Linked DNA regions of Saccharomyces cerevisiae S288C. The main gene of each other region encodes a partner of the protein of the gene in region 2 in a complex. Each region holds a gene or a part of one and is shown on either strand. Other genes may lie near its edges. A codon is read from its position in the direction of its gene.

The links. Proteins that work in one complex are often made in the same cells at the same time.
Region 1: the proteins of PIN4 (region 2) and RAD53 are in contact, whole or in part, in an NMR structure (PDB 2A0T), measured with the Saccharomyces cerevisiae proteins. Residues at the interface, in NP_009502.1 of Saccharomyces cerevisiae: Pro303 (codon at 1,626), Asp304 (codon at 1,623), Thr305 (codon at 1,620), Leu306 (codon at 1,617), Glu307 (codon at 1,614), Ile308 (codon at 1,611), Tyr309 (codon at 1,608); in NP_015172.1 of Saccharomyces cerevisiae: Arg70 (codon at 2,044), Ile81 (codon at 2,077), Ser82 (codon at 2,080), Arg83 (codon at 2,083), Leu84 (codon at 2,086), Ser85 (codon at 2,089), Asn86 (codon at 2,092), Thr106 (codon at 2,152), Asn107 (codon at 2,155), Gly135 (codon at 2,239), Val136 (codon at 2,242).

Annotation. Positions count from the first base shown.
Region 1 is NC_001148.4:261,167-266,028, reverse strand, and holds RAD53 (serine/threonine/tyrosine protein kinase RAD53), read left to right. Parts: upstream 1-1,836; coding exon 1,837-4,302; downstream 4,303-4,862. Other genes in the region: peptidylprolyl isomerase RRD2, read right to left, coding at 1-1,001; YPL152W-A (uncharacterized protein), read right to left, coding at 1,329-1,427. UniProt on the Saccharomyces cerevisiae protein: Controls S-phase checkpoint as well as G1 and G2 DNA damage checkpoints. Phosphorylates proteins on serine, threonine, and tyrosine. Prevents entry into anaphase and mitotic exit after DNA damage via regulation of the Polo kinase CDC5.
Region 2 is NC_001134.8:122,228-126,351, forward strand, and holds PIN4 (Pin4p), read right to left. Parts: upstream 2,533-4,124; coding exon 526-2,532; downstream 1-525. Other genes in the region: alpha-soluble NSF attachment protein SEC17, read left to right, coding at 2,898-2,927, 3,044-3,892. UniProt on the Saccharomyces cerevisiae protein: Involved in normal G2/M phase transition of the mitotic cell cycle. In association with RAD53, also involved in checkpoint control in response to DNA damage.

The DNA of each region.
Region 1 (4,862 bases), on a different chromosome or scaffold from region 2:
CAGCAGTCTCCCCAAGTAGTATGAACATGTCCTTCAAAATTGCACTCATCATCCTTATCAGTCCCATCATGTATGTGGCCTCTTGGTGGAGATACACCATCCGGACAAGGCAAAAACTCGCTAAAGTAAAAATGTTGCATGATGGGCAATTTACTAAGGACTTCGGCTTTATACATTTTTATCATCCCTTCAGCAACTTTTGACCAAGTCTTTACACCGCTGATGTCATCTAGCATAGGAGAATGCCATCTCAAGGAGGCGGATGACTTGACCTTATTAATAAAAGCGATACAACCAAAATATAAGTACCGATGAGCGAACATTTCTACGAGCTCATTATTGTGAATTGATATCGGCTTTAAGTGCTTGTGGGTGGTTAATTGGAAGGCACCAAATAGAAATGGAAGGAAATGATAATCATCTAATCCCCAAACACCATGAGAGCCCGCAGGCTCAAGCCAATATTTAGTTTCTAGTATCCTCATTATTTTAAGGTATTCTATAAAAACTTTCAGCACGAGGTTAGTTGAATCGTTTGAAAGATTGAATATTCCATAACTATAGAGTCCATAAAGTAAACACATGAAATTTAATTCATGACCTGAACCATAATCAATTCTTCTTTTATTTCCCCATGATTCATCTAGATAAATCGATAATTGTTCCAACTGCTCATCTGTGAGAGAGGGAAATTCGGAACGTAAGATCTTCCTGGAATTCCGTGAAACTTCGTCATAAAAGTCCCTAAACTCAACCTTACCAAATCTCGAGCTATCTGCATCCTTTATTACTGGGTGCTTCTGAGTGATATCTTTTATTTGCGAAAGCAAGTTCATCATACTGTTTATTGACTCCGATATTGGTTCTTTGTACTGGGAATTCTCATGTCCTTTGACAGATTCAGCCAAATCTATAATAAATTTAGTGAAATGAGCTCTTGTTGGGGATTCTTCCCATAGTTTCATATCGTCTGGAGTCAATAGTCTCTTTTCTGGCAACATCTTTTTCTAAATATTTATATTGTTCTTTACGGATTGTTGTTTATGGACTGTTCTTTCTGCACAGGCGACTAACATAAAGTACCTCTCTCTTGTCATTGATATCCCTTTTGTTCTATCACATCCGTTAGGATTTTATTCTGTGCTTACTCACGTGAAAGAGAGGGAAGAGTGTAAAAGTTACCCGAAAATCTATTATGGCGGCTATTGTAGTACGTCCAAAACAACGTATTTCAATGTAAATTCAAAGCAAACACTGAGAAAAAACAAAAACTTACTTATTGGTTCGCTCAGCACCTACCTAAATGGTACTTTTAGAATGATACTGTATTATCTACCGTGGTATCGGCAACTATAGGACGGAGATAAAGCATGCCAAAGTAATTCTTCCTTTATTAGATGAGATTTCAGCGTGAGGTGAACCATCATTTGTTTGGTTGGTGCATTAATAGCCTGCTTCCTTTTAATTAAGCCGGAAAGTGTTTGTCACAGATGTCAATGAAACGTGCATCTATTAACATATTTATTTTCATTTCGAGGGTGAGGTGGTGTGGACGCGTTGATACGGCAACGGGAGTGACGCGTAAAATTGGCAGAAAAATCATCACCGTGGGTAGACTTGGAAATGAAAACATTTATAGAATAAAGGTACAGGTTGAGAAGATAAAGGGTACCAAAGTTACCATTTTGAAATCTCTGATCAAGAAAAGGTAAGAAAGCAGAAAAGGACGGTAGAGATTATTGGAAGACAAACTAATTTTGTATATGCATTCGATTTTCTTAAGCTTTAAAAGAGAGAATAGTGAGAAAAGATAGTGTTACACAACATCAACTAAAAATGGAAAATATTACACAACCCACACAGCAATCCACGCAGGCTACTCAAAGGTTTTTGATTGAGAAGTTTTCTCAAGAACAGATCGGCGAAAACATTGTGTGCAGGGTCATTTGTACCACGGGTCAAATTCCCATCCGAGATTTGTCAGCTGATATTTCACAAGTGCTTAAGGAAAAACGATCCATAAAGAAAGTTTGGACATTTGGTAGAAACCCAGCCTGTGACTATCATTTAGGAAACATTTCAAGACTGTCAAATAAGCATTTCCAAATACTACTAGGAGAAGACGGTAACCTTTTATTGAATGACATTTCCACTAATGGGACCTGGTTAAATGGGCAAAAAGTCGAGAAGAACAGCAATCAGTTACTGTCTCAAGGTGATGAAATAACCGTTGGTGTAGGCGTGGAATCAGATATTTTATCTCTGGTCATTTTCATAAACGACAAATTTAAGCAGTGCCTCGAGCAGAACAAAGTTGATCGCATAAGATCTAACCTGAAAAATACCTCTAAAATAGCTTCTCCTGGTCTTACATCATCTACTGCATCATCAATGGTGGCCAACAAGACTGGTATTTTTAAGGATTTTTCGATTATTGACGAAGTGGTGGGCCAGGGTGCATTTGCCACAGTAAAGAAAGCCATTGAAAGAACTACTGGGAAAACATTCGCGGTGAAGATTATAAGTAAACGCAAAGTAATAGGCAATATGGATGGTGTGACAAGAGAGTTAGAAGTATTGCAAAAGCTCAATCATCCAAGGATAGTACGATTGAAAGGATTTTATGAAGATACTGAGAGTTATTATATGGTGATGGAGTTCGTTTCTGGTGGTGACTTAATGGATTTTGTTGCTGCTCATGGTGCGGTTGGAGAAGATGCTGGGAGGGAGATATCCAGGCAGATACTCACAGCAATAAAATACATTCACTCTATGGGCATCAGCCATCGTGACCTAAAGCCCGATAATATTCTTATTGAACAAGACGATCCTGTATTGGTAAAGATAACCGACTTTGGTCTGGCAAAAGTACAAGGAAATGGGTCTTTTATGAAAACCTTCTGTGGCACTTTGGCATATGTGGCACCTGAAGTCATCAGAGGTAAAGATACATCCGTATCTCCTGATGAATACGAAGAAAGGAATGAGTACTCTTCGTTAGTGGATATGTGGTCAATGGGATGTCTTGTGTATGTTATCCTAACGGGCCACTTACCTTTTAGTGGTAGCACACAGGACCAATTATATAAACAGATTGGAAGAGGCTCATATCATGAAGGGCCCCTCAAAGATTTCCGGATATCTGAAGAAGCAAGAGATTTCATAGATTCATTGTTACAGGTGGATCCAAATAATAGGTCGACAGCTGCAAAAGCCTTGAATCATCCCTGGATCAAGATGAGTCCATTGGGCTCACAATCATATGGTGATTTTTCACAAATATCCTTATCACAATCGTTGTCGCAGCAGAAATTATTAGAAAATATGGACGATGCTCAATACGAATTTGTCAAAGCGCAAAGGAAATTACAAATGGAGCAACAACTTCAAGAACAGGATCAGGAAGACCAAGATGGAAAAATTCAAGGATTTAAAATACCCGCACACGCCCCTATTCGATATACACAGCCCAAAAGCATTGAAGCAGAAACTAGAGAACAAAAACTTTTACATTCCAATAATACTGAGAATGTCAAGAGCTCAAAGAAAAAGGGTAATGGTAGGTTTTTAACTTTAAAACCATTGCCTGACAGCATTATTCAAGAAAGCCTGGAGATTCAGCAAGGTGTGAATCCATTTTTCATTGGTAGATCCGAGGATTGCAATTGTAAAATTGAAGACAATAGGTTGTCTCGAGTTCATTGCTTCATTTTCAAAAAGAGGCATGCTGTAGGCAAAAGCATGTATGAATCTCCGGCACAAGGTTTAGATGATATTTGGTATTGCCACACCGGAACTAACGTGAGCTATTTAAATAATAACCGCATGATACAGGGTACGAAATTCCTTTTACAAGACGGAGATGAAATCAAGATCATTTGGGATAAAAACAATAAATTTGTCATTGGCTTTAAAGTGGAAATTAACGATACTACAGGTCTGTTTAACGAGGGATTAGGTATGTTACAAGAACAAAGAGTAGTACTTAAGCAAACAGCCGAAGAAAAAGATTTGGTGAAAAAGTTAACCCAGATGATGGCAGCTCAACGTGCAAATCAACCCTCGGCTTCTTCTTCATCAATGTCGGCTAAGAAGCCGCCAGTTAGCGATACAAATAATAACGGCAATAATTCGGTACTAAACGACTTGGTAGAGTCACCGATTAATGCGAATACGGGGAACATTTTGAAGAGAATACATTCGGTAAGTTTATCGCAATCACAAATTGATCCTAGTAAGAAGGTTAAAAGGGCAAAATTGGACCAAACCTCAAAAGGCCCCGAGAATTTGCAATTTTCGTAACCAAGGACAAATACCCATAGAAAATGCTGCCCCTTTTTAAGAGAGAAGATGGTAGATACCAATACTCAGAATTCATCTATTCATAACTTTTTGGGTTTTTATTACATATAGAGTGACGTTTTGATACGATTTACATTTTGAAATATATAGATTTTTGTATATTAATAAGTTTTGATTTTCAGTTTTAGTTATGCTTAATGAATTTTTGAATCAGAAAAAGAAGTTCTGAAAAAAACATAATCCTGCTTGATGTGGTACAACAAGCTCATAAATAATTTTAAAAAGTTTGTTAATCCGTTTTCAATATCTTGAGCTCCTCAATTGTATTTGCTGAGGTCTGATTATTTCTATAACCAAAAGCGGTTATTGAATCTATGGAGAGGCTGTAACCCGTCTTATGCCTTCCGGGTACTATATTTCATTTGCGGGTGTCGATGGATTAAGGGGCGGAGGCGGCCCTTTTTAGGATTTATATAAAAAGCCATACTTCCGTACTTCGTAACCTCTTATCAACTGGTTAAGGGAACAGAGTAAAGAAGTTTGGGTAATTCGCTGCTATT
Region 2 (4,124 bases):
CCCGACTTTCTATATACTACAAATACCGCCAATGATGCAGTGAGCAAGATATCAATTAATGCAAAAACAATATCGAGTAAGGTAGAAACATCTCTGTGATTAAACATCGTACATATAAATACCATATATAAAAGTATGTGGGAAAAGAACGTTCAAAAAAAAAAAGTAAGTAGTAGGTTAAAAATAAAATCTCAAAAGAGGGAAAAAAAAAAAAGAGGGATAATTTTGGCTTGATTACATTGCGTTACTTAAAGTAGCCTCATCATTCATTCATTATCATCGTTTCATCGACATTAGGTGACGTTTCTCAGTAAAAATTAACTTCATCATGATCATTAATTTCATATTCATATTCGGTTATTTTTTTTTTTTTTTATATTTTTTTTCAATGGTGTTTTTGATGGTTTTTATTATATATATATATTTTTTTATCTTTTATCTTGTGTAAGCACCCCTCATTACTTGTATCGTGCGATATACAAATACCAAACAAACTCTATAATCATAGAATAATGGAAGTATATATTACCATAGATTCTTCTTGTTTTGGTTTTGTAAATCCAGTCCGCTTAAAGAACGATTCAAGCCCTGTTCCAAGCCATCATCTAGTCCAGAGTGACTCAAAGATTTATAGATCAAGTCGGCACTATTCAAATTGTGTGCGGACAACATGGACTCATCGTGATAAGACTGATATGAGAAATTAGAATGTACTGAGCCATTTGTGTGCTGTGGAAGCAGTTGGGACTGTGAGTTTGCTGAAGATGGGCCGTTAAGGTTGTACAACTGCTGGGAAGACAATGAAGCATTTTGGTATGCCACTGGTACCCGTTGTTGAGTTTGGGACTGTGCTGGTGGTTGCGCTTGGGATAGGGTTTGGCTGTTGATTGGGATTTGTGAATTTGGAGGTGAAATTTGAGAATTTCTCAGTAAGGGATTAACGGAATTGATTTGATAATGGTTGGCAGAATAACCGGATGGAATTCTTGAGGATGGTGTTAAAGTAGCTTGTTGTCTTAAAAAAGATTGTTGTTGTTGCGCAGCTGACTGAACATTTTGCTGTGTTTGTGGTTGAGGTTGTTGCGGTTGGTCTGCGGAATTGTATTGAGAACTATGGTGTATGTTCATTTTAGGTGAGGTTAGTGTTGGTTGCATGGAGAATTGTCCCTGTGAAGAAATTTTTGGTGTTGAGCTGGCGCTATTGTTATTAATGATGACATTGTTACCGTTACCGTTATTACTGTTAATAGTATTGCTGTTGGAAGAATTGTTAACGGCCTGATTGCTAATACTATTCGCTGCAGCTGCTGCATGGGCCTGTAACAAACTTGTATAAGATTGTGACCTATTCATGGAGCCGCCAGTGGAGTTTGGCTGCAAAGGATGAGCAGATGTCATTTGACCTTGTTGTTGCAAATGAGATTGTAAATTAGCATGATCCAGAATCTTTCTTCTGATAATAATAAATCTTGGATCATATACTTCTACTAGCCCTAAGTACGAGCACAAAACATTGATAATTCTCTTGTGGGAAGCGGATATACCCATGGGATAAGCCAACTCGTAATAATACTTTTCTCTATCCTTAAATAACAATAATTGGGAATAAATTTCCAAAGTGTCAGGGTCATTGAAGTCCAGTTGTTGGGGTGGGAGAGGCAAAGTGGAAGTTGATGGTAAAGGCGCATAAAATCTCTCAGTGGACATCTGGGCTTGATTATTAACGTTTGTTTGGTACAACGATGAAGAAGTATGTTGGGCAGAAAGTGAAGGTTGGTTCAGAATGATGTTACCACTATTGTTGTTATTAGAACTGTTATTGTTAATGGTATTATTCATTGGACTGTTCATCATGCTATTAGCATTAATGCCGTTCATTAGAGTCGAGAATAATTGATTGTTAGAAGTATTATTGTTTCCGCTTCCACTCATTTTAGATAAAGAATCCAAAGAAAGATTAGATGACGATCTGTGTTGTTCTTCTAATTGTCCTCTTTTCTCTCTCTTCTCCCTCTCGATTCTTTCTCTTTCAGCTTGGGGAAGCATTTTTTTATATTCCACTTTCAATTTCCTCCCGCTGATTTCCTTTCCATTCAAAGAAGTTATCACTTGAGTAGTTTCTTCAGGAGTGGTGAAATTCGCAAAGGCTAGTCCTCTGAAAATACCGTTATCAAAGTGGTAATTGAAGGCATAAGGAAGGGGAAGATCCATTTCTTCAATAATGTCTAACAATTGCTCTTTTTTAATAGCAAACGGAATGTTTTTAATAACAATAGCATTTGGGATAACATCATCGTCCAAAGCACCATTGGTGGGGGCATTATTCAAATTTGTAGAAGAAACGTTTTGTTCGGCATTTTTTGCAGAGTTCTCACCAGTTTCCGTTTGCACACCGTTTTCTTTGTCAATTGCATCTCTAGTTTCGATAGATTGCTGATTTGTTTCCTGGTCATTAGTCTCCGTATTTATATTATTATCCTGAGCATCATTGATGGCTGCAGGAGGAGCATTCTCAAAAGAACTGGTCTCCATTTCTTATTGTTGTTGAACACGCTTTCCCTAGTCTGTAGCCTGCCTCTATGAGTACTATATCACACTTCTTCTTGCGCTAATCTCCAAAGACCTGCTGGTAATCTCAGCTGAAAGGCTGCCTTTAATTGTTATTCTTTTCCAGGAAAAAATCGCAAAGTTGCAGCATCCGTGTTTCGTGACATCATTGAAGGTTACCCTAATCTATTACCTCGGATTAACTTGAATTAATAAGGACACACAGGTATAGGGAAGGTAAAGTTGAAGTAATGATAAGAAGTGGGCAGCACCGAAGCAGTTTATCTGAACTAACTTCTGTACGACTCGAGAATATAGTAAGAACACCATCATTAACCTGAAAGTTAAAAATGTCAGACCCTGTAGAGTTATTGAAAAGAGTATGTAGTAGGGAAATATATCAAAGGAACAAAATGAAAGCTATGTGATTCCGTAATTTACGAAGGCAAATTACTAACATTGAAATACGGGAATTGATATTTCCCGTTGTGTTAAGGCTGAGAAGAAGGGTGTTCCTTCATCGGGTTTCATGAAATTGTTTAGCGGTTCTGATTCATACAAGTTTGAGGAGGCTGCTGATCTTTGTGTCCAAGCAGCCACCATTTACCGTCTAAGAAAAGAGTTAAACTTGGCAGGAGACTCGTTTTTGAAAGCTGCTGACTATCAGAAAAAGGCTGGTAATGAAGACGAAGCAGGAAATACCTACGTAGAGGCTTATAAATGCTTTAAAAGCGGTGGAAACTCTGTGAACGCCGTGGATTCATTAGAAAATGCTATTCAAATTTTTACTCATAGGGGGCAGTTCCGGAGAGGTGCTAATTTCAAGTTTGAGCTTGGAGAAATTCTAGAAAATGATTTGCATGACTATGCAAAAGCTATAGATTGCTATGAGCTCGCTGGTGAGTGGTATGCCCAAGACCAGTCGGTAGCATTATCGAATAAGTGTTTTATCAAATGCGCAGATCTAAAGGCTCTTGACGGTCAATATATTGAAGCAAGTGATATATATTCGAAGTTGATCAAGAGCAGCATGGGCAATAGATTGAGCCAATGGAGTTTGAAGGATTACTTCCTAAAAAAAGGGCTTTGTCAGCTAGCTGCTACTGATGCAGTCGCTGCTGCAAGAACTTTACAAGAGGGTCAAAGTGAAGATCCGAATTTTGCGGATTCAAGGGAGTCAAATTTCTTGAAAAGTTTAATCGATGCTGTTAATGAAGGTGATAGCGAGCAGCTAAGCGAACACTGTAAGGAGTTTGACAATTTTATGAGACTAGATAAATGGAAAATTACCATTTTGAATAAAATTAAGGAGTCCATCCAGCAACAAGAAGATGATTTGTTATGAACGGCATATACTTACGCGCACATACATATATACATATATATTATAAATGTAACACTTGTTTTACCCGAAACGGCGAAGTAATTGTGTACCGCCGTGCACCTTTTCCTCGAGATAAACATATAGCGATGACTTAGAGAACAAAGTAGTATTAGTATCATATACTTCCAACGTTAATCAAGCGCAATAAACCTTTGTTCGTGTGTTTCAAAGTTATTGCAAGAGCGAAGTTGAA